Saccharomyces cerevisiae S288C: one gene and its partners. Changing the gene in region 1 together with any one later gene gives a genetic interaction. Each region holds a gene or a part of one and is shown in the gene's direction. Other genes may lie near its edges.

Region 1 (6,449 bases):
GAAACGGTAAAAATTAAAGAATTACAAGACGAATGTAACTTTAAAGAAAAGGAAGTTAGTGAATTGGAAGACAAACTCAAGGCCTCAGAAGATAAGAACTCTAAATATTTGGAGCTACAGAAGGAATCGGAGAAGATAAAAGAAGAACTAGATGCTAAAACGACTGAACTAAAAATTCAATTGGAAAAGATCACTAATTTATCTAAGGCCAAGGAGAAATCAGAATCTGAGTTGTCTAGATTGAAGAAGACATCTTCTGAGGAAAGAAAAAATGCAGAGGAGCAATTGGAAAAATTGAAAAATGAAATACAAATCAAAAATCAGGCCTTCGAAAAGGAAAGAAAGCTACTTAATGAAGGATCTTCAACAATTACACAAGAATATTCTGAAAAGATCAATACTTTGGAAGATGAATTAATTAGGCTACAAAATGAAAACGAATTAAAAGCCAAAGAGATCGATAATACGAGGAGTGAACTAGAGAAGGTTAGTTTAAGCAATGATGAGCTTTTAGAAGAGAAACAAAACACAATAAAAAGCTTACAAGATGAAATTCTTTCATATAAAGACAAAATAACTAGAAATGACGAAAAGCTTCTATCAATAGAGCGAGATAATAAACGAGACCTGGAGAGCTTGAAAGAACAACTCCGGGCTGCACAAGAATCCAAAGCTAAAGTTGAAGAAGGGCTGAAAAAACTTGAGGAAGAATCTTCAAAAGAGAAAGCAGAGCTTGAAAAGTCTAAAGAAATGATGAAAAAGCTAGAGAGTACGATTGAGAGCAATGAAACGGAGTTGAAATCCTCAATGGAAACCATAAGGAAATCAGATGAAAAATTAGAACAGTCGAAAAAAAGTGCTGAGGAGGATATTAAAAACTTGCAACATGAGAAGTCAGATTTGATATCCCGAATCAACGAATCTGAAAAGGATATTGAAGAACTGAAAAGTAAACTGAGGATCGAAGCAAAATCTGGCTCTGAACTAGAAACCGTAAAACAAGAGCTAAATAACGCACAAGAAAAAATAAGGATCAACGCAGAAGAAAATACAGTTTTGAAATCTAAATTAGAAGATATAGAACGTGAACTCAAAGACAAGCAAGCCGAAATAAAAAGTAATCAAGAAGAAAAAGAATTACTAACTTCGCGCCTCAAGGAATTAGAACAGGAATTAGATAGCACCCAACAGAAGGCACAAAAATCCGAGGAAGAACGTAGGGCCGAAGTCAGGAAGTTTCAAGTCGAAAAGTCTCAACTTGATGAAAAAGCCATGTTGCTTGAAACTAAATACAACGATTTGGTGAATAAAGAGCAAGCATGGAAAAGGGATGAAGATACTGTTAAAAAGACAACCGATTCTCAGAGACAAGAAATTGAAAAGTTGGCTAAAGAACTGGATAACTTGAAGGCAGAGAACTCTAAGTTGAAGGAAGCTAACGAAGATCGTTCGGAAATTGATGACTTGATGCTCTTGGTTACTGACCTAGATGAGAAAAACGCCAAATATCGCTCAAAGCTGAAGGATTTGGGCGTTGAAATTAGTTCGGATGAAGAGGATGATGAAGAAGATGATGAAGAAGACGAGGAAGAAGGGCAAGTGGCATGATAGAGTTAAAATATGTGCATAAACAAATCGCTTGAACGATCTGTTTGATTATGTGGGCAGCACTACTTTTTTGTAATTATATATGCATATATACATTTTACTGACACTAAATGTTATATTTTCTATAACATCTAACATTACTTCACGCCTTCTAATTAAAGTATAGTTTGTGCAAACAATATGTGAGCTCACGTAGACAATTGTCTAATATATCATTAATGTCCCTTGCATAGAACTTCCTTTTTTTTTCTCAGCGTCGCAATATCTCTGTCGAGAAACGCTTACGCATTATAATAAGCCAAGGAAAAATAGCGAAAAGCCGATGCAGATCTACAGGAGTGATGAAAGTACTAAAAAGATCAGAAAAGGGAATATTTGTCAAATAACCAAGTCGAAATGGAAAAAAAACATGTCACTGTGCAAATACAAAGTGCTCCCCCCTCCTATATCAAATTGGAAGCAAATGAAAAATTCGTATATATTACAAGTACAATGAACGGCTTATCTTATCAAATTGCGGCTATAGTTTCATACCCAGAAAAGAGAAATTCATCAACTGCAAATAAAGAAGATGGTAAATTACTGTGCAAGGAAAATAAACTAGCATTGTTACTACACGGAAGTCAATCTCACAAGAACGCTATTTATCAAACTTTACTAGCAAAAAGGCTGGCCGAATTCGGATATTGGGTACTAAGAATAGATTTTAGGGGCCAAGGTGATTCCTCAGATAACTGCGACCCTGGCCTTGGTAGGACGCTCGCTCAGGATCTTGAAGATTTGAGTACAGTATACCAAACAGTATCTGACAGGTCTCTTAGGGTGCAATTGTACAAAACTAGTACAATATCACTGGACGTGGTTGTGGCACATTCTAGAGGATCTCTTGCCATGTTCAAATTCTGTCTAAAATTACATGCAGCTGAATCTCCATTACCGTCTCACCTGATCAATTGCGCTGGAAGATATGATGGGAGAGGACTTATTGAACGCTGCACACGACTGCACCCGCATTGGCAAGCAGAAGGTGGGTTTTGGGCGAATGGTCCACGAAATGGCGAATACAAAGACTTTTGGATACCATTAAGTGAGACTTATAGTATCGCTGGCGTTTGCGTTCCGGAATTTGCCACGATACCACAAACTTGTTCAGTAATGTCCTGCTATGGCATGTGTGATCACATAGTGCCAATTAGCGCAGCCTCAAATTATGCAAGGCTTTTCGAGGGCAGACATTCATTGAAACTTATTGAAAATGCGGACCACAATTATTATGGCATTGAAGGTGATCCCAACGCGCTAGGCTTACCGATAAGGAGGGGTAGAGTCAACTACTCACCACTAGTAGTTGATCTAATTATGGAATACCTGCAAGATACATAGACCATACAACTACATATTAATCTAAGATAAGTCTTGTGCTGAGTTTGGTCACTTTGCGGGATCACCCGCATAAAGTCGTCGGCATTGCAGTTTAAGATCAAATAGAGGCAATACTACGCTGTGAGACGATATTTCTGATCGTGATTAAACTGGTATTCCACATGTTCAGCATCCATTAGCCGTTAGAGATAATTCATTTACGTTCCTTTTTTCTCTTGCGCTTGAGATTGTTAGATTGTTAAATTACTACTGCTTTGTTTTTCCATCCGATTAGTATAATCAACAGATGAAAAAATGAAAAAAAGAAAACAAAATCAACATAACTTGCACAAGATTGAGCCATCGGAAAATAAAGCCCATTGTAATTCATATAACTAAACATCATATCAAGTGCGATTGGTCTGCAAAATCGTGCTTAACATTCCGAGACACAACGTAAATCCCAGAAACACAAGCATGTCTAACCAAATATACTCAGCGAGATATTCGGGGGTTGATGTTTATGAATTCATTCATTCTACAGGATCTATCATGAAAAGGAAAAAGGATGATTGGGTCAATGCTACACATATTTTAAAGGCCGCCAATTTTGCCAAGGCTAAAAGAACAAGGATTCTAGAGAAGGAAGTACTTAAGGAAACTCATGAAAAAGTTCAGGGTGGATTTGGTAAATATCAGGGTACATGGGTCCCACTGAACATAGCGAAACAACTGGCAGAAAAATTTAGTGTCTACGATCAGCTGAAACCGTTGTTCGACTTTACGCAAACAGATGGGTCTGCTTCTCCACCTCCTGCTCCAAAACATCACCATGCCTCGAAGGTGGATAGGAAAAAGGCTATTAGAAGTGCAAGTACTTCCGCAATTATGGAAACAAAAAGAAACAACAAGAAAGCCGAGGAAAATCAATTTCAAAGCAGCAAAATATTGGGAAATCCCACGGCTGCACCAAGGAAAAGAGGTAGACCGGTAGGATCTACGAGGGGAAGTAGGCGGAAGTTAGGTGTCAATTTACAACGTTCTCAAAGTGATATGGGATTTCCTAGACCGGCGATACCGAATTCTTCAATATCGACAACGCAACTTCCCTCTATTAGATCCACCATGGGACCACAATCCCCTACATTGGGTATTCTGGAAGAAGAAAGGCACGATTCTCGACAGCAGCAGCCGCAACAAAATAATTCTGCACAGTTCAAAGAAATTGATCTTGAGGACGGCTTATCAAGCGATGTGGAACCTTCACAACAATTACAACAAGTTTTTAATCAAAATACTGGATTTGTACCCCAACAACAATCTTCCTTGATACAGACACAGCAAACAGAATCAATGGCCACGTCCGTATCTTCCTCTCCTTCATTACCTACGTCACCGGGCGATTTTGCCGATAGTAATCCATTTGAAGAGCGATTTCCCGGTGGTGGAACATCTCCTATTATTTCCATGATCCCGCGTTATCCTGTAACTTCAAGGCCTCAAACATCGGATATTAATGATAAAGTTAACAAATACCTTTCAAAATTGGTTGATTATTTTATTTCCAATGAAATGAAGTCAAATAAGTCCCTACCACAAGTGTTATTGCACCCACCTCCACACAGCGCTCCCTATATAGATGCTCCAATCGATCCAGAATTACATACTGCCTTCCATTGGGCTTGTTCTATGGGTAATTTACCAATTGCTGAGGCGTTGTACGAAGCCGGAACAAGTATCAGATCGACAAATTCTCAAGGCCAAACTCCATTGATGAGAAGTTCCTTATTCCACAATTCATACACTAGAAGAACTTTCCCTAGAATTTTCCAGCTACTGCACGAGACCGTATTTGATATCGATTCGCAATCACAAACAGTAATTCACCATATTGTGAAACGAAAATCAACAACACCTTCTGCAGTTTATTATCTTGATGTTGTGCTATCTAAGATCAAGGATTTTTCCCCACAGTATAGAATTGAATTACTTTTAAACACACAAGACAAAAATGGCGATACCGCACTTCATATTGCTTCTAAAAATGGAGATGTTGTTTTTTTTAATACACTGGTCAAAATGGGTGCATTAACTACTATTTCCAATAAGGAAGGATTAACCGCCAATGAAATAATGAATCAACAATATGAGCAAATGATGATACAAAATGGTACAAATCAACATGTCAATTCTTCAAACACGGACTTGAATATCCACGTTAATACAAACAACATTGAAACGAAAAATGATGTTAATTCAATGGTAATCATGTCGCCTGTTTCTCCTTCGGATTACATAACCTATCCATCTCAAATTGCCACCAATATATCAAGAAATATTCCAAATGTAGTGAATTCTATGAAGCAAATGGCTAGCATATACAACGATCTTCATGAACAGCATGACAACGAAATAAAAAGTTTGCAAAAAACTTTAAAAAGCATTTCTAAGACGAAAATACAGGTAAGCCTAAAAACTTTAGAGGTATTGAAAGAGAGCAGTAAAGATGAAAACGGCGAAGCTCAGACTAATGATGACTTCGAAATTTTATCTCGTCTACAAGAACAAAATACTAAGAAATTGAGAAAAAGGCTCATACGATACAAACGGTTGATAAAACAAAAGCTGGAATACAGGCAAACGGTTTTATTGAACAAATTAATAGAAGATGAAACTCAGGCTACCACCAATAACACAGTTGAGAAAGATAATAATACGCTGGAAAGGTTGGAATTGGCTCAAGAACTAACGATGTTGCAATTACAAAGGAAAAACAAATTGAGTTCCTTGGTGAAGAAATTTGAAGACAATGCCAAGATTCATAAATATAGACGGATTATCAGGGAAGGTACGGAAATGAATATTGAAGAAGTAGATAGTTCGCTGGATGTAATACTACAGACATTGATAGCCAACAATAATAAAAATAAGGGCGCAGAACAGATCATCACAATCTCAAACGCGAATAGTCATGCATAAAATATACATAAATAGAGGAACTTTACATGTATCCATATACTGAAAAATAGATAAAACAATGAGATAATATTTATTAACTTCTACGTAAATAAAAAGTTACATAAGGATCAACCTTTTTTTCTTTATTTTCTTTTTTTTTTTTATTTTTCATTTTCAATTACAAACTAAGACATAACAGTAAGCAGTGCTTTTTCTGTGCATGTTTTCCTCTTTTTATAATGATATTGGCTAAAATAAAATTAACAAAAACAGATGAGTGATATAGATTATATTCATTACAGTTCGTTTTCCTAACTCACATAATAATAGCTTCCTTTGGAACATTATCGGAGATAGACTTATGAGGTAAGACTTTACCACCGTTGATGTAGATTTCGTCCTTAACTTCAACGTCGTCACCCAAGACAGTGACACCTTCCAAACGACACCATTGACCAACGGTAGAGTTCCAGCCTACGATGGTAGATTTGACCAAGGAGTGGTTCTTGATGGTGGAGTTG
Region 2 (10,102 bases), on another chromosome or scaffold:
GGTTTACCGAAATGGGGAGCCAAGGAAGGAATTCGACAAACAGGTAGGGGTGTAGAATCAACCAAGGCGCTTTTAATTTCGTTAGTGCCCTTCTTCTTGTAAAGAAGGCGACCACCAATACCTAGGTCTCTGTCTAGCCACAATTCATTCAGTGTACCTCCATAGGGAGCAACAGCAATTCTTCCGTAACCTTCCGCTGTGTCTTTAAAGGAGACGGGCTTCAATTTGACCGTCAAAGCGTCCACATGAGATCCAATGACACCGACACCCTTTTCGGCTCTCCAGTTTTTGCCCAGGATAAAGGCAGATAGGTTAGTTCCATTTCTTATAGTGTAGAATTTCCCACCATCTTCGCCAATGGAGTCCTGCCAATTGGATTTCTCGCTCAAGTATTTGAAGTTATGCTTATCTAACAGCTCCGCGAAAAATGATACTACATGGTAAGTGGTAGGGTTCTTGTAAATGAAATCAATGAATTCCTGTGCAATATCCTCATAATTGTGCTCGAGGATGCACCACGAATTTTCATTTTCTTTCTTTTCCTTTTCTTCGTTGGCGATTTGGTTATTTTTAGATGGCTCTACAGTTAGCATCTGCAGAGTTTTCTTCAATTGTTCCAGTATTTCACGTTGTTCCTCCATTCTTTTTTTCTTAATTTTGTTGGTTGTGCAGGTTTCTACAATTGCACTAAGATTACTGATCAGGCTCTATACAGTGTATGTCTTGTTCTGTGAAGTCAACTGCTTATAAATGAATTTTTATTATCTAATGGAACGATTAAGGGGTGTGTCAACTATTTCACTTAACCCTATTCTTTCTTACTGTCGTTTGCTTGCATAGCCTATCTTACAGTAATAGAGGTGCAAAACAGCATCACCCCTAGTTGTTTTTCCCGAAAAACCTATCCCAGATTATTTTTTTTTTGAATTAGACAAGAAATCATCCGAAGACCTATTATGCTTCTGATTAAACCTTGAGAAAAACGGAAGTTTGCAACCTATACCCTAAAGTAGAAGCTGACTAATTCATATTCCTCACGAAATGGTGCGACCTCTCTTTATCCATGAGAAAAGGAAGGAGTGGGTTCTTGTTTGATGCTTCTTTATCTGATACCAACAAGCGCAAGAGATAAGGGATTACAATGTTATCATGCCTCAGAAAGTAATAGGATGACATTTTCTTGCAAACGTTGACATTAAAAACATAAAGTACCTTACGGCGTTCGGAGCCTACAAGCCTGCCACAATTTGAGCCGCTGCACAAGAGAACACCGAATGAACAACTGGCTGCAGCTGTCGATGAAACCTCAGCGAATAAAGCACACATTTGTGCGTTTTACAATAACAGGGAAGGTGGAATGTGTTGCCTTCGTCCTTATTTTTCGCGTTGTGAAATATTTTTACTAATTTTTCTTTTCGCGTGGTCATTTTCGCGTTGGGTTGTTTGGGCTAAATAGTGAAAACTAATCTCCATCACGTACCGTACCGTCTTGTACCGGCTGGGAGCAGCATTATAGTGGCCACTCTTATTGGCGTTCTTAATATAAGCAAGTTACCTTTTGCTCGAAACCTGTTTCTTCTTAAAACTCCCTTTGGATCGTAAGTTCGCTAGTTATCCGACTGCAAGGACGTAAATTGGACAGCGAGAGGCCATTAAAACAGAGAGTTGAACTCAAATAGATCATCAAATAGGTTGGATATCCATCATACTACTTGCTACTAATCGCGAAAAGAGATAAATAATAAAATTACAAGAAAGACAAGGTAAAAAGAACGACATAGATTTGCGGGACAAAAAATACTGATAAATAAATCAACAACCAACTATATTCACTCCTTTATTATTTGTTATTAATATTTTTTATTTTTACCACACGACATGACTGGTCACGTTTCAAAAACGAGCCACGTACCCAAAGGTCGCCCGTCTTCATTGGCCAAGAAGGCAGCTAAAAGGGCCATGGCCAAAGTAAATTCGAATCCAAAAAGGGCGTCGGGGCATTTGGAGCGTGTTGTACAATCTGTGAACGACGCTACCAAAAGATTATCTCAGCCCGACTCTACCGTAAGTGTTGCTACAAAATCATCAAAGAGAAAATCCAGAGACACGGTGGGTCCTTGGAAACTTGGCAAAACATTGGGGAAGGGATCTTCTGGTAGGGTTCGCTTGGCTAAAAATATGGAAACAGGACAATTAGCTGCCATTAAAATTGTCCCCAAGAAGAAAGCCTTTGTTCATTGTTCTAATAATGGAACTGTTCCTAATTCTTACTCTTCTTCCATGGTCACTTCCAATGTATCTTCTCCATCAATAGCATCTAGAGAACATAGTAACCATTCTCAAACGAACCCATATGGCATAGAGAGAGAAATAGTAATCATGAAATTGATATCTCACACAAACGTTATGGCATTGTTTGAAGTTTGGGAGAACAAATCAGAGCTGTACCTAGTTTTGGAATATGTTGATGGTGGCGAATTATTCGATTATCTGGTCTCGAAGGGAAAGCTACCTGAAAGGGAGGCTATCCATTACTTCAAGCAGATAGTTGAAGGTGTTTCCTATTGTCATTCTTTTAATATATGCCATCGTGATCTGAAGCCTGAAAATTTATTATTAGATAAAAAGAATAGGAGAATCAAAATTGCTGATTTCGGCATGGCAGCATTAGAGCTTCCTAATAAACTTTTAAAAACTTCATGTGGCTCTCCACACTATGCGTCTCCTGAAATTGTTATGGGTAGACCATATCATGGCGGTCCTAGCGATGTCTGGTCCTGCGGTATCGTTTTATTTGCATTACTCACCGGTCATTTACCATTTAATGATGACAACATCAAAAAGCTGTTGTTGAAAGTTCAATCGGGCAAATATCAAATGCCCTCAAATTTATCTTCTGAGGCTCGTGATTTGATATCAAAAATATTGGTAATTGATCCAGAAAAAAGAATTACCACTCAAGAGATATTGAAGCATCCTCTGATCAAAAAATATGATGATCTCCCAGTTAATAAAGTGCTGAGGAAAATGAGAAAGGATAACATGGCGAGGGGAAAATCTAACTCGGATTTGCATTTGCTAAATAATGTCTCGCCCTCTATTGTAACTTTACATTCAAAAGGGGAAATTGATGAATCCATCTTGAGGAGTTTGCAAATTTTGTGGCATGGAGTTTCTCGTGAACTAATCACTGCCAAGTTGCTTCAAAAGCCAATGTCGGAGGAAAAACTATTCTACTCACTGTTATTACAATATAAACAACGTCACTCAATATCATTGTCCTCGTCAAGCGAAAACAAGAAATCAGCAACAGAAAGTAGCGTAAATGAACCTAGGATTGAATACGCATCCAAAACTGCCAATAATACAGGCCTAAGGAGCGAGAACAATGATGTGAAGACTTTACATTCTCTAGAAATTCATTCAGAAGATACTTCAACAGTGAATCAGAACAACGCAATTACAGGGGTTAATACAGAAATTAATGCCCCTGTATTGGCACAAAAATCGCAATTTAGTATCAATACGCTCAGTCAACCTGAAAGTGATAAGGCTGAAGCAGAAGCTGTAACATTACCACCCGCTATTCCCATATTCAATGCTTCTTCATCAAGGATTTTCCGTAACTCATACACCTCTATTTCATCACGTTCGAGAAGATCGCTACGCTTATCGAATTCCAGATTATCATTGTCCGCTTCAACTTCTAGAGAAACTGTGCATGATAATGAGATGCCTCTACCTCAACTGCCGAAGTCGCCTTCAAGATATTCATTGTCAAGAAGGGCAATCCACGCCTCCCCATCTACTAAATCAATACATAAATCACTTTCGAGGAAGAATATAGCTGCAACTGTTGCCGCTAGAAGAACACTACAAAACTCGGCTTCAAAGAGATCCTTATACTCATTACAGTCAATTTCAAAACGTTCCTTGAACCTGAATGATTTATTAGTCTTTGACGATCCTCTCCCTAGTAAGAAACCAGCATCCGAAAATGTGAATAAATCAGAACCCCATTCGTTGGAATCAGACTCTGATTTTGAGATCTTATGCGATCAGATCTTATTTGGAAACGCCTTAGATAGGATACTCGAAGAGGAAGAGGACAATGAAAAAGAACGCGACACCCAAAGACAGAGGCAAAACGATACAAAATCTTCGGCAGACACTTTTACGATCTCTGGGGTGTCTACAAATAAGGAAAATGAGGGCCCGGAGTATCCAACCAAAATTGAGAAAAATCAATTCAATATGTCATATAAACCATCTGAGAATATGTCAGGGCTCTCTTCATTTCCTATCTTTGAAAAAGAAAACACGTTAAGCTCAAGTTATTTGGAAGAACAGAAGCCAAAGAGAGCGGCCCTTTCAGATATCACGAACTCATTCAATAAAATGAATAAACAGGAAGGTATGAGGATAGAAAAAAAGATTCAAAGAGAACAACTTCAAAAAAAAAATGACCGCCCGTCACCACTCAAACCTATTCAGCACCAAGAACTTCGTGTAAATTCTTTGCCTAATGATCAAGGTAAACCGTCCTTATCTCTAGATCCCCGCCGTAACATCTCCCAGCCAGTGAATTCAAAAGTGGAATCACTATTGCAGGGACTGAAATTCAAAAAGGAGCCAGCCTCTCACTGGACCCATGAGAGAGGTTCCTTGTTCATGAGTGAACATGTGGAAGACGAAAAACCAGTCAAAGCCTCAGATGTTTCAATCGAAAGTTCATATGTACCTTTAACAACAGTAGCAACATCTTCGAGAGATCCCAGTGTTTTAGCAGAATCTAGTACAATTCAAAAACCAATGCTGTCTTTACCTTCTAGTTTTTTGAACACATCTATGACGTTCAAAAATCTTAGCCAGATACTCGCTGATGACGGTGATGATAAGCATCTAAGTGTGCCACAGAACCAATCTAGAAGTGTAGCCATGTCACACCCTTTGCGAAAACAATCTGCCAAAATATCTCTAACTCCACGGTCTAATTTGAACGCCAATTTATCCGTTAAACGTAATCAGGGCTCACCTGGCTCCTATTTGAGTAATGATCTGGATGGAATCTCTGATATGACATTTGCGATGGAAATACCAACAAACACCTTTACCGCTCAGGCGATTCAACTGATGAACAACGACACGGACAATAATAAAATCAATACTTCGCCCAAAGCATCTTCTTTTACAAAAGAAAAAGTAATCAAATCGGCAGCCTATATCTCGAAGGAAAAAGAACCAGATAATAGCGATACTAATTATATTCCAGATTATACTATACCAAACACATATGATGAAAAAGCCATTAATATTTTTGAAGATGCGCCCTCCGATGAGGGTTCATTAAATACATCTTCTTCAGAAAGCGATTCACGAGCAAGTGTGCATAGGAAAGCGGTATCTATTGACACTATGGCGACAACAAACGTTCTTACTCCCGCGACAAATGTTAGAGTAAGTCTTTATTGGAATAATAACAGTTCTGGTATACCCAGAGAGACTACTGAAGAGATACTTTCTAAACTTAGATTGTCACCAGAAAATCCTTCTAATACACATATGCAAAAGAGGTTTTCTTCCACGCGTGGTAGTCGTGATAGTAATGCATTAGGCATTTCTCAAAGTTTACAGTCAATGTTCAAAGATTTGGAGGAAGATCAAGATGGGCATACTTCTCAAGCTGATATTCTTGAATCAAGTATGAGCTATTCAAAGCGAAGACCATCTGAGGAAAGCGTTAATCCAAAACAACGAGTGACAATGCTTTTCGATGAGGAGGAGGAAGAATCTAAAAAAGTAGGTGGGGGAAAAATTAAAGAAGAGCATACCAAGCTAGACAATAAAATATCCGAGGAATCTTCTCAACTTGTGTTGCCGGTGGTTGAAAAAAAGGAAAATGCAAATAATACAGAAAATAACTACTCTAAAATACCAAAACCCTCAACGATTAAAGTTACGAAGGATACCGCTATGGAATCAAATACACAAACCCATACAAAAAAGCCAATTCTAAAAAGTGTCCAAAATGTTGAAGTTGAAGAAGCGCCTTCCAGTGATAAAAAGAATTGGTTCGTCAAACTATTTCAAAACTTTTCTTCTCATAATAATGCTACTAAGGCATCCAAGAATCATGTAACGAATATATCATTTGATGATGCGCATATGCTAACATTAAATGAATTCAACAAGAATAGTATCGACTATCAATTAAAGAACCTAGATCACAAATTTGGGAGAAAGGTGGTGGAATACGATTGTAAATTTGTAAAAGGCAACTTCAAATTCAAAATCAAGATTACTAGCACACCCAATGCATCTACGGTAATTACTGTAAAAAAAAGAAGCAAACATTCAAACACAAGTTCCAATAAAGCCTTTGAAAAGTTTAATGATGATGTGGAGAGAGTAATTCGAAATGCCGGACGTTCATAAATTCTATATAGATGTTATATAATTATACAACAATAATTTGAAAAATTTAACGTACGAGAACCGAATGGACAGGCGTGAGAAAACATAGTTTAAAAGAACATTAATAAATGGAGAGACATGAGACACGAAGGAAAGAAAGAGGGTTTTACAAACATTGTCCTAGATTAGAAGATAAATACAACCCTGGAGGGGTAAAAAGAGCTGTCGTTTCTTTTGGAGCTCAAGAAGATTCGTCATCCAAGAGATCTTCTTCAGAAAGCTCTTCCTCAGAGCTGTCACTGAGATCTTCCTCTTGCACGAATTCTTCATCATCGTCAAAATTTTCGTTTACATCATCACCAAGCAAGGCATACTTGTCGGCATCATTATAGTATTCTGATAGGATGAAGGTCGAATAAGTTATAGAGTTCTCCTTTTTTTCTATCGCTTTTTTTAAACTTTTATCCACTTCAATCGTATCATACTGAAAATTCCAAAACTGCTTAAAATCCTTGTTCCAGCAAGCTACCAAAATAGTACTAATCAACAAGGAAGGAACAATGTATAATAAAGCCGGTTGAGCAGTATTGAAAATGGACAAGGAGACCATGGCAGATACCAAAGAAGCAACGTAACTAACCATAGCAGTAATAAAATATTTTCCAACGTATGACCAGTTCAAAAAGTGGAATTCAGTGTCATCATGATCAAGGTGCCACTTCCAGATGTCATATTTGTAGCACATCGCAATAAACATACCAGGCAAGGCAATATCACCCAGACCAAGTATTGAAAAATTGAAGTTGTTTTGAGCTGTATTAAACTTGACTGGTAAGCTTAGTTTTACGGGAATATCAAGGTTAGTAGCTACTGTAACCATTACATCGGTACCAAAGACAAAGCAAATGTCGTAAAAAAATAGAGCAATTAGGATTAGGGCCCCTGATTTTAAATTCTTCAATTTTAATTGAGCAATGGACCAAATAGCCATATTCATACTGACAGCATTGGATATTAACCAATCATTGGGTGATAAATAGAAATATACGGTAGAAACGATGGACAGAACGAACGAAACAATTAATGCGCTATTCAAATACATGTTGCTGATCTGCCTCTTCGATTTAATATCCTTCGGTTCAACTAATTCTCTTCTGTAAAAATGCTTCATCCAATGATCTTTTTCAATCTCATCCAATGTTTTCTTGTGAACAACTGAGTTGGTCAATCCATCTTTGTAATTCAAATTGGTAACAAACCCGCCTATCTTGTTCAGGTCTTCGTTATCATCAGCTATTGTTACACGATACCTTGGTAAAACAACCAGGGGATTCCAAGAAGCTAAATGTGATAGGTTTCTGAAAAGTGAGTTGAGAAAGTAGGAGTAGACAAATGTGCCAGCTGGGATATTTAGCAGTGTTATATTAAAATTCAAAATTTTCACCACATATTTTAGCCAGTTTAGGTGTAGTTTCTTGATCACAAAATAGAGAGCGAGTAAAGTACAGCCACTAGTTAAGGGCAGTATAATCGCATGTTTTTCATCCATCATATCGAAAAACCTCTTGCTTTTCTTCTTTTTCTTTTTATCTTCGTCATTCTCGCGGTAGATAACATGACAGTCGTGGTCCACATCAAAATCTGTAGGATCAAACAATGAGTGTTCTCTCGTAGGAGGTAGAGCTGTAAATGGAATAGAAGAAATAGACGTAAATGAGCCAATAACGACCAAAGCACTTGCGATGAGAACTAAAGTGGCGTAGTTGAATACTAAAGAATGGCTTTCCACCAAGTGTGTAATCTTGTGAGCAACGCGATATGATATCTTATCAAAGGCAGTGGTTAATTTGTTATTGTGGTTTTCAACTATAGCATTGATCTGTTCAAAAACTTGTTCTAATTCCTTGTTCGACGCACTTTGGTTAGCGCTTGATGAATTGTTCCTAAAGGCACGAGATGACCACTCTGAAAGGTGGTCAACAAATGAATTCAAATACTTGTCCATCGTGTATGAGTTTGTTCCCCATTATAGATCTGTAGTATTGCTCAAAAAGGGAGCACTTTACAAATCTTGTCCTAAATACTCCCATTCGGAGAGGGGTTCTTTTTTTTCCGGTGCCTCAAAATCCTTTTTTTTTTGATGGCGCAAAAGACACTTAAGAAAAGTGAATACTTTTTATAAACGTAATCCTATAAAACATGAAAAGAAGGATTACGGAACGTCTGCCTGATTCACTTATATATACTATATAGATGGTAAAAATCTAACGTTTCCGTTGTTTCTTCCATTTAAATGAAATTTTTCCTGAAGAGTCTACGATTTTTTTCTTGGAACCCTTCTTCAACAATTCTCTTTGAGCATCCATTCTTTGTTGGACCTGTTTCAATTGAGTTTCCCTCTGTAAGTGCTGCTTGACTTGCTTGAACTTTTTCAATTTCTTTTTGTCTAATGATTCCTTTGGCATTATTGATGAAGCGTTCCTATTGTTTGAAATATCTTGGGCTAATTGGTCCTTAGTTAATCTATTTTCAGATCTATTCACCATCTCGGAGGTGGTATTGAAAAACTTCTCTGGGGTGAATTCGTTCATCTTCTCTCGGGAATCGACGAATATTGTATGATTCCCACTGCTTTTGAACATCAACTGTTTCGCTCCTTTCTCCAGCTTTTTCAGCTCTATTTGCCTCAGCGTCCTCACATAATTACTATCTTGCGTTTTGAGTAATTTAACTTGATCCATGGAAAGCGATTCGTCTTCTTCGTCACCGTGACGTGAGCTGATCAGCAGTCCTTTTGCATCTGTCTTCCTTGAATGCATAGCATGGTAGTATTCATCTGGATTTCTCTCTTTTGCTTTTTCTCTGAGGACTTTCAAAGTGGACTGCTTCCTGTGGAAGTCTTGAGCACGTTTCACATAGTCTTTATGCTTTTCTAAAAACCCATATCTGGAACGGCTAGTTAGCTGAGAACGTTCTCTATGCTGCTTTTTCTGAACATCATGTACAAGTTTAGCCATATCTTTTGTCTGTTGTTGGCTGTAACGAACTAGAAAACCCCACTAGTATTATTCGATGATATGCAACTTGCTCTTATTGTAGTTTCTTAGCATTGTTTTCTTTACTCTTTTTCTTCAAATCGCGATGAGCTCATCTAGCCATAAAAAAATTTCATCTTTTACGTGCATAACGACAAACCTTTAAGCCTTAGAGGACTTGGTGATGTGCTCCTTTATAACAACGATTACTTCCATTGAACAGCAACACCTGCAAAATCGGAGCTGCAAAATTATTGATTGGATGTGGCAAAAATAGGAATGGGCGATCATAATCTGCCGGATTTTCAGACATGTTTGAAGTTTTCTGTTACAGCTAAAAAGAGCTTTCTATGTATGTATAGAGACAGCGTCTCAAAGGAAAAATTAGCCTCTTCGATGCCAAGTACTTGTGATATACAACTGAAGAGGGCAATCAATGACGCTTATCCGGGCGGAGGAATAAAGGTCACGGTTCTGAACTCAACAACTGCAAGCTTGGACTCGTTAGCAACTACACATGTTAAGGAATTTGAGATTGTTATCATTCCAGACATAAATTCTCTTTTACAGCCAGACCAAGCGAAATTAGTAAAAATTATGAGAGATTGCACAGTGGCGATTGAGAAGGCACAGTCAACACGTATATTTATAGG
Region 3 (7,306 bases), on another chromosome or scaffold:
AATCAATATTTTCACTTTTTTGTATGACATCCTTCAGATCGTTGTACAGATTTGATGTTCTGCGGTGAAAATAGCGAACTAAATTTTCAGCGATCTGTATTTCTGAATTGTTGGGTTCTGGGCCAGAAACGTGCCTCGGAATCTTGAAATTATTTGCAAGGTGATATGGCGCTACCAGATAGCCTGCAGTAGTTAAAAGAAAAAACCCATCAATTAAAAACTGTAGCCATGATATGGGTTCTGTCACCTCATGATGTCGACATGTCGCATTTGTAGAGGCATCCTCTTGTAACTCCCCCAGTATAAGTTTTTCATACACCTCTAAGTCAAGAGGAGTTGCTTTGTTTTGTTCACCAGATGCGGTAAGAATTTCCACTTCTTTTTCTGGTGATTCTTCTATAGTTGAGCTCGAAGTAAGTTTGACTACTATGTCGTAAATTTCAGGCTTATACAACAAAATTTCCTCGCTGGTCGTAGCCACATAACCGTTCCCCTTTTTGAACGACTCTAGAAAAGGAATATCTGATGTTGATACCGTGAAAATAGGCTTAATATATTCATCGCTTACATGGTTTCCTATCAAGTTTTTTGGAAGCATTGATATTAAGAAGACACAATAGGCCAAAGAATTGCACAATTCGAACGATTCTCCTTGAGGAACTAGTATCAATATCCTTGACTGAAGGAGACTTGCTTTCCAAAGTGGAAATATGAGAGGCCCTAACTTCCTTGTCCAGTATGGCAAATATTCAACCAAATGCCGTCTTTCTTTGGGTGAATGTTCAAAGACTTCTACTGAATTTTCAGCCATGTGCCCTTGGTTATTCTCGTCAAAAAACTTTTCAAAAATATCAAACTTATCAAGATCACGCTGCCTTATCCATTGACCGAGTAAACTTTCTAGATAGCTTGAGTATCTGTTGGCAGCATACGCATGGTATATTTCCTTATAAAAGTGCTTTTTACTATCTGATGAGGCATTTTGGACATCGATAATTACACCAAGAGAAAACATTTGAACTTTACTCCTATCAATACGATTGTCATTCTCAATAATATCGAACGAATTTTGTTTGAAATAGGCGATGCCGTAATCATAAGTTGTCGTCTTGGCAGTTTGACAGACATCTAATTCTTTAGGAACTACAAAATTGACAACATCGTCAGTTTGTTCGTGAATACCGGCTGGTAACGATTTAAATTCAATATTGCTTAAGTCAATTGCCGCACCATTAATACTTTTAGACCATATTATGATATTTCCCTTTTTCATGTCAAATTTACTTAAGAAGATGCAAGCAATTCCCGGTTTTTCACCATTTGAGTTTAAAAGTTGAGTAATATTAAATACATTTGGCTTTATAGTTGGTTCTTCACCTCCGGAATTCATAGTGCTTCGAGGAACTTACTTGATCCTTCTTGAAGTAGCTATTAAGTTGTTCGAAATGAAGTAATTATTAAAATAGAAGTAAATCATTAAATGATGCCGCTCAACAGAGGTTATGCCAAATTAGTATATAGCATGATTTTACATCACTTTAAACGTATAATTTGTGAATGATGAGGTAGCAACAAATAAACAATGCAACAGTCTCTAGTCCTATGAACTAATTTGGCCTTGAAAACCCCCCGATGATACTTCTTTAGGTGTTACAAACTTACTCGCATAGATATTATTTTTTGAACGCCAGGTTAACAATAATTACTTAGCATGAAATGTCACCTCGACAGCTTATACCGACATTAATTCCGGAATGGGCACCATTATCCCAGCAATCGTGCATAAGAGAGGATGAGTTAGATAGTCCCCCGATAACGCCTACGAGCCAGACATCTTCATTTGGTTCTTCTTTTTCTCAACAGAAACCAACCTATAGTACAATTATAGGAGAAAATATACACACGATCCTGGATGAAATTCGACCATATGTGAAAAAAATAACTGTTAGTGACCAAGATAAGAAAACTATAAACCAATATACGCTAGGAGTCTCTGCAGGAAGTGGACAATTTGGTTATGTACGAAAAGCGTACAGTTCTACTTTAGGCAAGGTTGTTGCTGTCAAGATTATACCAAAAAAACCTTGGAATGCCCAGCAATATTCAGTAAATCAAGTAATGAGGCAAATCCAGCTTTGGAAGAGTAAAGGAAAAATAACGACAAATATGAGTGGTAATGAGGCTATGAGACTTATGAATATCGAAAAATGTAGGTGGGAAATTTTTGCGGCTTCAAGACTTCGAAATAATGTTCATATTGTGCGACTAATAGAATGCTTGGACTCTCCTTTCAGCGAATCTATCTGGATAGTCACTAATTGGTGCAGCCTTGGTGAACTACAGTGGAAACGTGACGATGATGAAGATATTTTACCGCAATGGAAAAAAATTGTGATTTCAAATTGTAGTGTTTCTACATTTGCCAAAAAAATCCTGGAGGATATGACAAAAGGGTTGGAATATTTGCATTCTCAGGGTTGTATTCATCGTGATATCAAACCGTCCAATATTTTATTGGATGAAGAAGAAAAAGTAGCGAAACTTTCTGATTTTGGAAGTTGTATTTTCACTCCCCAATCATTACCTTTCAGCGATGCTAATTTTGAAGATTGTTTTCAGAGGGAATTGAACAAAATTGTTGGTACTCCGGCATTTATTGCACCAGAGCTATGTCATTTGGGCAATTCCAAAAGAGATTTTGTGACGGATGGCTTTAAGTTGGATATTTGGTCATTGGGAGTGACACTATACTGCTTACTGTACAACGAGCTGCCATTTTTCGGGGAAAATGAATTCGAAACCTACCACAAAATCATCGAAGTATCATTGAGTTCCAAAATAAATGGTAATACTTTAAACGATTTAGTCATTAAAAGGTTATTGGAGAAAGACGTTACTTTACGCATAAGTATTCAGGATTTAGTAAAGGTTTTGTCGCGTGACCAGCCCATAGATTCTAGGAATCACAGTCAAATTTCATCGTCCAGTGTGAACCCCGTAAGAAACGAAGGTCCTGTAAGAAGATTTTTTGGTAGGCTACTGACTAAAAAAGGAAAGAAAAAGACCTCAGGAAAAGGGAAAGACAAGGTATTGGTATCTGCAACTAGTAAAGTAACACCTTCGATACATATCGACGAGGAACCGGATAAAGAATGTTTTTCGACTACGGTCCTTAGATCTTCGCCAGACTCGAGCGATTATTGTTCATCGTTAGGGGAGGAAGCCATTCAGGTTACGGATTTCTTAGATACTTTTTGTAGGTCAAATGAAAGCTTACCTAATTTGACTGTGAATAATGATAAGCAGAATTCGGACATGAAAACTGACAGAAGCGAGTCATCCTCTCATTCGTCATTGAAAATCCCAACACCTATCAAAGCCATGATAAGACTAAAGAGTTCCCCTAAAGAGAACGGGAACAGAACCCATATTAATTGCTCACAGGACAAACCGAGTTCCCCACTAATGGATAGGACTGTTGGAAAGCGCACGGTTAACAATTCAGGGGCTAGAAAGCTTGCTCATTCAAGTAATATTCTCAACTTTAAAGCATACATAAATTCGGAAGATAGTGACATTCGAGAAACAGTAGAAGATGTAAAAACGTATCTGAACTTTGCAGATAATGGTCAAATATAGATGAAACTACAGGATGATATCTGTCGGATTGGGTTAGCTGATAATCGTATAGCCGATGTGAAATATGATTATTAATTGATTTACTTGGTTATGGTAAATACATAAATATATATATAGAAACGGCAAATTACCCACATTTGCATTTGTATTAATAACACTAAAGATAATATTCATAATATACCATCATTGATAATTGAAATCGACATCAACATTTATCAATTGAGAGTTTAGTGGTCTTCTATTGCGAGAATATCGAACGATATGATTTATCTTGATCCCACTGTGTCGCGAAATCGCGGAAGTAAATTGAAAACAAAAGAAAAACAAAACTTCATCGATAAATATTGAGAAAACATCTCTTAAAAACAGTAGTAGATAATCTTGAGAATTTACTTTATAAAAAACAGAAGAAGGACTGAATATAGAAAGAATACTAATATAACATAATCATGTCAAGTAAACAACAATGGGTTAGTTCTGCTATTCAAAGTGATTCGAGTGGAAGATCACTCAGTAACGTCAACAGGCTTGCAGGAGACCAACAATCTATTAACGATCGTGCGTTATCGTTATTGCAGAGAACAAGAGCGACAAAGAACCTGTTTCCAAGAAGAGAGGAAAGAAGACGTTATGAAAGCTCAAAAAGTGACCTAGATATCGAAACAGACTACGAAGACCAAGCAGGTAATCTAGAAATCGAGACAGAAAATGAAGAAGAAGCTGAAATGGAAACTGAAGTACCTGCACCAGTGCGAACTCATTCATATGCCTTAGACAGATATGTTAGACAGAAAAGGAGGGAAAAACAAAGAAAGCAGAGCTTAAAGCGCGTCGAAAAGAAATATACTCCTAGTGAATTAGCTCTGTACGAAATTCGAAAATACCAACGTTCCACGGATTTATTAATCTCCAAAATTCCATTTGCAAGGCTAGTGAAAGAAGTTACAGACGAGTTTACAACTAAAGATCAGGATTTACGTTGGCAGTCAATGGCGATTATGGCGTTACAGGAAGCAAGCGAAGCGTATCTGGTAGGATTATTGGAACATACAAACCTCTTGGCGCTGCATGCAAAAAGAATTACTATAATGAAGAAAGACATGCAACTAGCAAGAAGAATCAGGGGACAGTTTATTTAGTGATATTTGTGCTTCAGGGCTGGAGCCGATTTTTCCCTTTTTCGGGGTTTATATTGACTTAAGGTACTTTAAATGTTTTAAATAAGGTTATTATAAGGTCATATTAGCATACCTTTCGGTTCGACAAGTGCTCTCCGCTGTTGACAGTTTTTTTTTCATGTTCACTTGTTGGCTTTGTAAGACATTTTTGGCAGTCCCCTATATTTCGCGATGAAGCTCCAAATCAAAGGTTAAGGGTAGAGGTTATTTCTTTTTCAGACTGATTAAGGGATACTTCTGCAGGATATACATGATGGAAAATGATGCACTCAAAGATGGTATTTAACACATGAAAATCTTCATAGAAAGCACCATGTTTTCTACAATGTCTAAACAAAAGTGATCACATGAGTTCAAATCAGTAGTTTTAGAGTGTGATTGACAATAAAACTTTAGGAACAAGTACAATACTATAATGTCACTAATATCTGCGTTGCAAACCACCGATGTGGAATCTGTCCAGACGTCCCCTGAGCAAATTACTGAAAGAAAGGCGGTTAGAGTATCCACTTTGCAAGAATCGCTACATTCTTCTGAAATGCATCGCGCTGCTCCAGAAACACCTCGCTCAATTTCAAATAGCGTTCACAAACTGAAAACTATATATTCTACTTACCAGCAGAGTGGACAACCATTGAGTAAAGAGGCGATATTCCGTGCGAAACAGAAGTATGGCATTTTGAATACTCCGGCTAATTACAAAACACTTGGTTTAGGAGACTCCAAGAGTGAGTCAGTTGATCTTGCGGCCCGTTTAGCTAGTAAGAGAACGAAAGTCTCGCCTGATGACTGTGTCGAAACAGCAATCGAGCAAAAGGCCAGAGGTGAGGCTTTCAAAGTAACCTTTTCCAAGATTCCATTGACCCCGCCTGAAGACGTCCCAATAACGGTCAATTTAGGTCTGAAGGGAAGGCGTGATTTTTTAACAAGATTAGCTGCACAAAAAGCATTGGCTTTCAGTCCTTCTTTAGACAATTCCATGAAGGGCACCTCCGACAGTTCCAGTGTTAAAAAAAAGAGGTTTTCTGGTGCCCCTATTGGTAATGAGTTTGATGCAAACTTAGTTAATCCACAGCACCCTGCAGGTTTCAAATCCCTCGATTTATCTAAGGTATTGGATGGAGCGGAAAGAAGGGCGATTAGCAGAGTTAATGACAGGTTGTATCCCCAAAAGGTAAACTTTAAAAATGGATTACAAAGCAGCGATCAAAGTGGTGTATCAAAAGCTAACAAAGAAGTTTTTAAGAAAGGAACTTTGGAAAAACTTGAACATTCCGCAGAGCAGTTCTTAGAGTCTCATGCTGGTAATGAAAGACAAAGGCTAAGTGATCAACAATATATGTGTGCAAAGGGTGCAGCTGATGCAGTTAAAGATCTTGACCCGAAGACATTGGAAGACCCAGATTTTGCTGCAAGAGAGGCACAAAAGAAACTGTACATAAAGCAGGTAGCATCTCCGGTAGTGCTAAATGAAGCTCAAAAGCTTGCGAATAGGAAATTGCAGGATATTGACTCGCGCGATACTTACATGCTTTTATTTGGTAACCAAGCTTACAATAAGCTTGCTGTTAACATAGCTCTACAGCACTATTCTGTTAAACAAGAAGAAAAAAAGAAAATATATTTGGGTGGTGGTTTGTGGATGACTCCAGAAGAGGTTAACGCAGTCGCCAAAAAGTTGATATCACCAGTGGTGAACGAAATTGATGAACGAGCCAGCAGACAACGTGATGTTGATAAAGATATTGAGAGAAGGTCAAGAGTTCTTGATCAGGAATATGAGGATGGGAATTCTATGGAACGTGCAAAAGAGCAAAACGACGGGCAATTATTGTTAGCGATGGCTTCAAAACAACAACAGGAGAAAGAAGCTAAAAAGGCCGAGGAGGGACAACGGTATGATCAGTTCGTACAAAAGATGAATATCAAATTACAGCAGAAGGAAAAAGAACTTGAAAATGCTAGGGAAAATCGTGAAAATCTAAGAAACGAACTACAGGAAAGGTTGTCCAAGAACCTGTCAGGAGAGAATGATGAATTGAATGATTGGAACGATGCATGTGAAAGAGATCTCAAAAATTCGAGCATTGAACACTATTATGCCGTCAGATCACACTTTGACAATTTGGGAAATTCGGAAAGAGGGTATGATGAGCTTTTGGAGGAGCGCAGCAAAATACAGGTAGAAATCGAAAGACTTGTCGCTTCCATTGCTGAACATAAAACTGCAATCCATGGTTTTGGGGAAACAGCAGATGCTGGTGGAGCTATACCAGCTGTACAGAAACAGAAAATTCCAACAAGGAAGGACCTTCTTGATGCTACCGTGAATGATCCTTTGGTTATTTCTGCAGAAATGGCAAAAGAAGAAGCAGAAATGGCTACAGAAGAATGTATGTTGAAAGAATTACAGGTAGATGAAATGATTATAATCAGGAACATTATGCTGCGGGAGTGTGAAAAGAAGCTCGAAGAGGAGAAGGAAACGG

The links. Genes that interact genetically often act in the same process or in processes that back each other up.
Region 2: mutations in MBP1 (region 1) and HSL1 together harm fitness more than expected from each alone (negative genetic interaction), as found in Saccharomyces cerevisiae (6 studies listed by BioGRID).
Region 3: mutations in MBP1 (region 1) and ELM1 together harm fitness more than expected from each alone (negative genetic interaction), as found in Saccharomyces cerevisiae (4 studies listed by BioGRID).

What each region holds. Positions count from the first base shown.
Region 1 is NC_001136.10:349,430-355,878, forward strand, and holds MBP1 (transcription factor MBP1), read left to right. Parts: upstream 1-3,447; coding exon 3,448-5,949; downstream 5,950-6,449. Other genes in the region: USO1 (Uso1p), read left to right, coding at 1-1,608; YDL057W (uncharacterized protein), read left to right, coding at 2,005-2,991; PSA1 (mannose-1-phosphate guanylyltransferase), read right to left, coding at 6,245-6,449. UniProt on the Saccharomyces cerevisiae protein: Binds to MCB elements (Mlu I cell cycle box) found in the promoter of most DNA synthesis genes. Transcriptional activation by MBF has an important role in the transition from G1 to S phase.
Region 2 is NC_001143.9:247,042-257,143, forward strand, and holds HSL1 (protein kinase HSL1), read left to right. Parts: upstream 1-1,878; coding exon 1,879-6,435; downstream 6,436-10,102. Other genes in the region: metalloaminopeptidase APE1, read right to left, coding at 1-641; YKL102C (uncharacterized protein), read right to left, coding at 1,021-1,326; YPF1 (aspartic endopeptidase), read right to left, coding at 6,656-8,419; rRNA-processing protein UTP11, read right to left, coding at 8,679-9,431; MTC2 (Mtc2p), read left to right, coding at 9,729-10,102.
Region 3 is NC_001143.9:343,547-350,852, reverse strand, and holds ELM1 (serine/threonine protein kinase ELM1), read left to right. Parts: upstream 1-1,716; coding exon 1,717-3,639; downstream 3,640-7,306. Other genes in the region: ANR2 (Anr2p), read right to left, coding at 1-1,390; centromeric DNA-binding histone H3-like protein CSE4, read left to right, coding at 4,089-4,778; LPX2 (Lpx2p), read left to right, coding at 5,233-7,306. UniProt on the Saccharomyces cerevisiae protein: Important role in G1 events required for bud emergence and septin organization. Coordinates cell growth and cell division at G2/M, essential for efficient cytokinesis and for regulation of SWE1.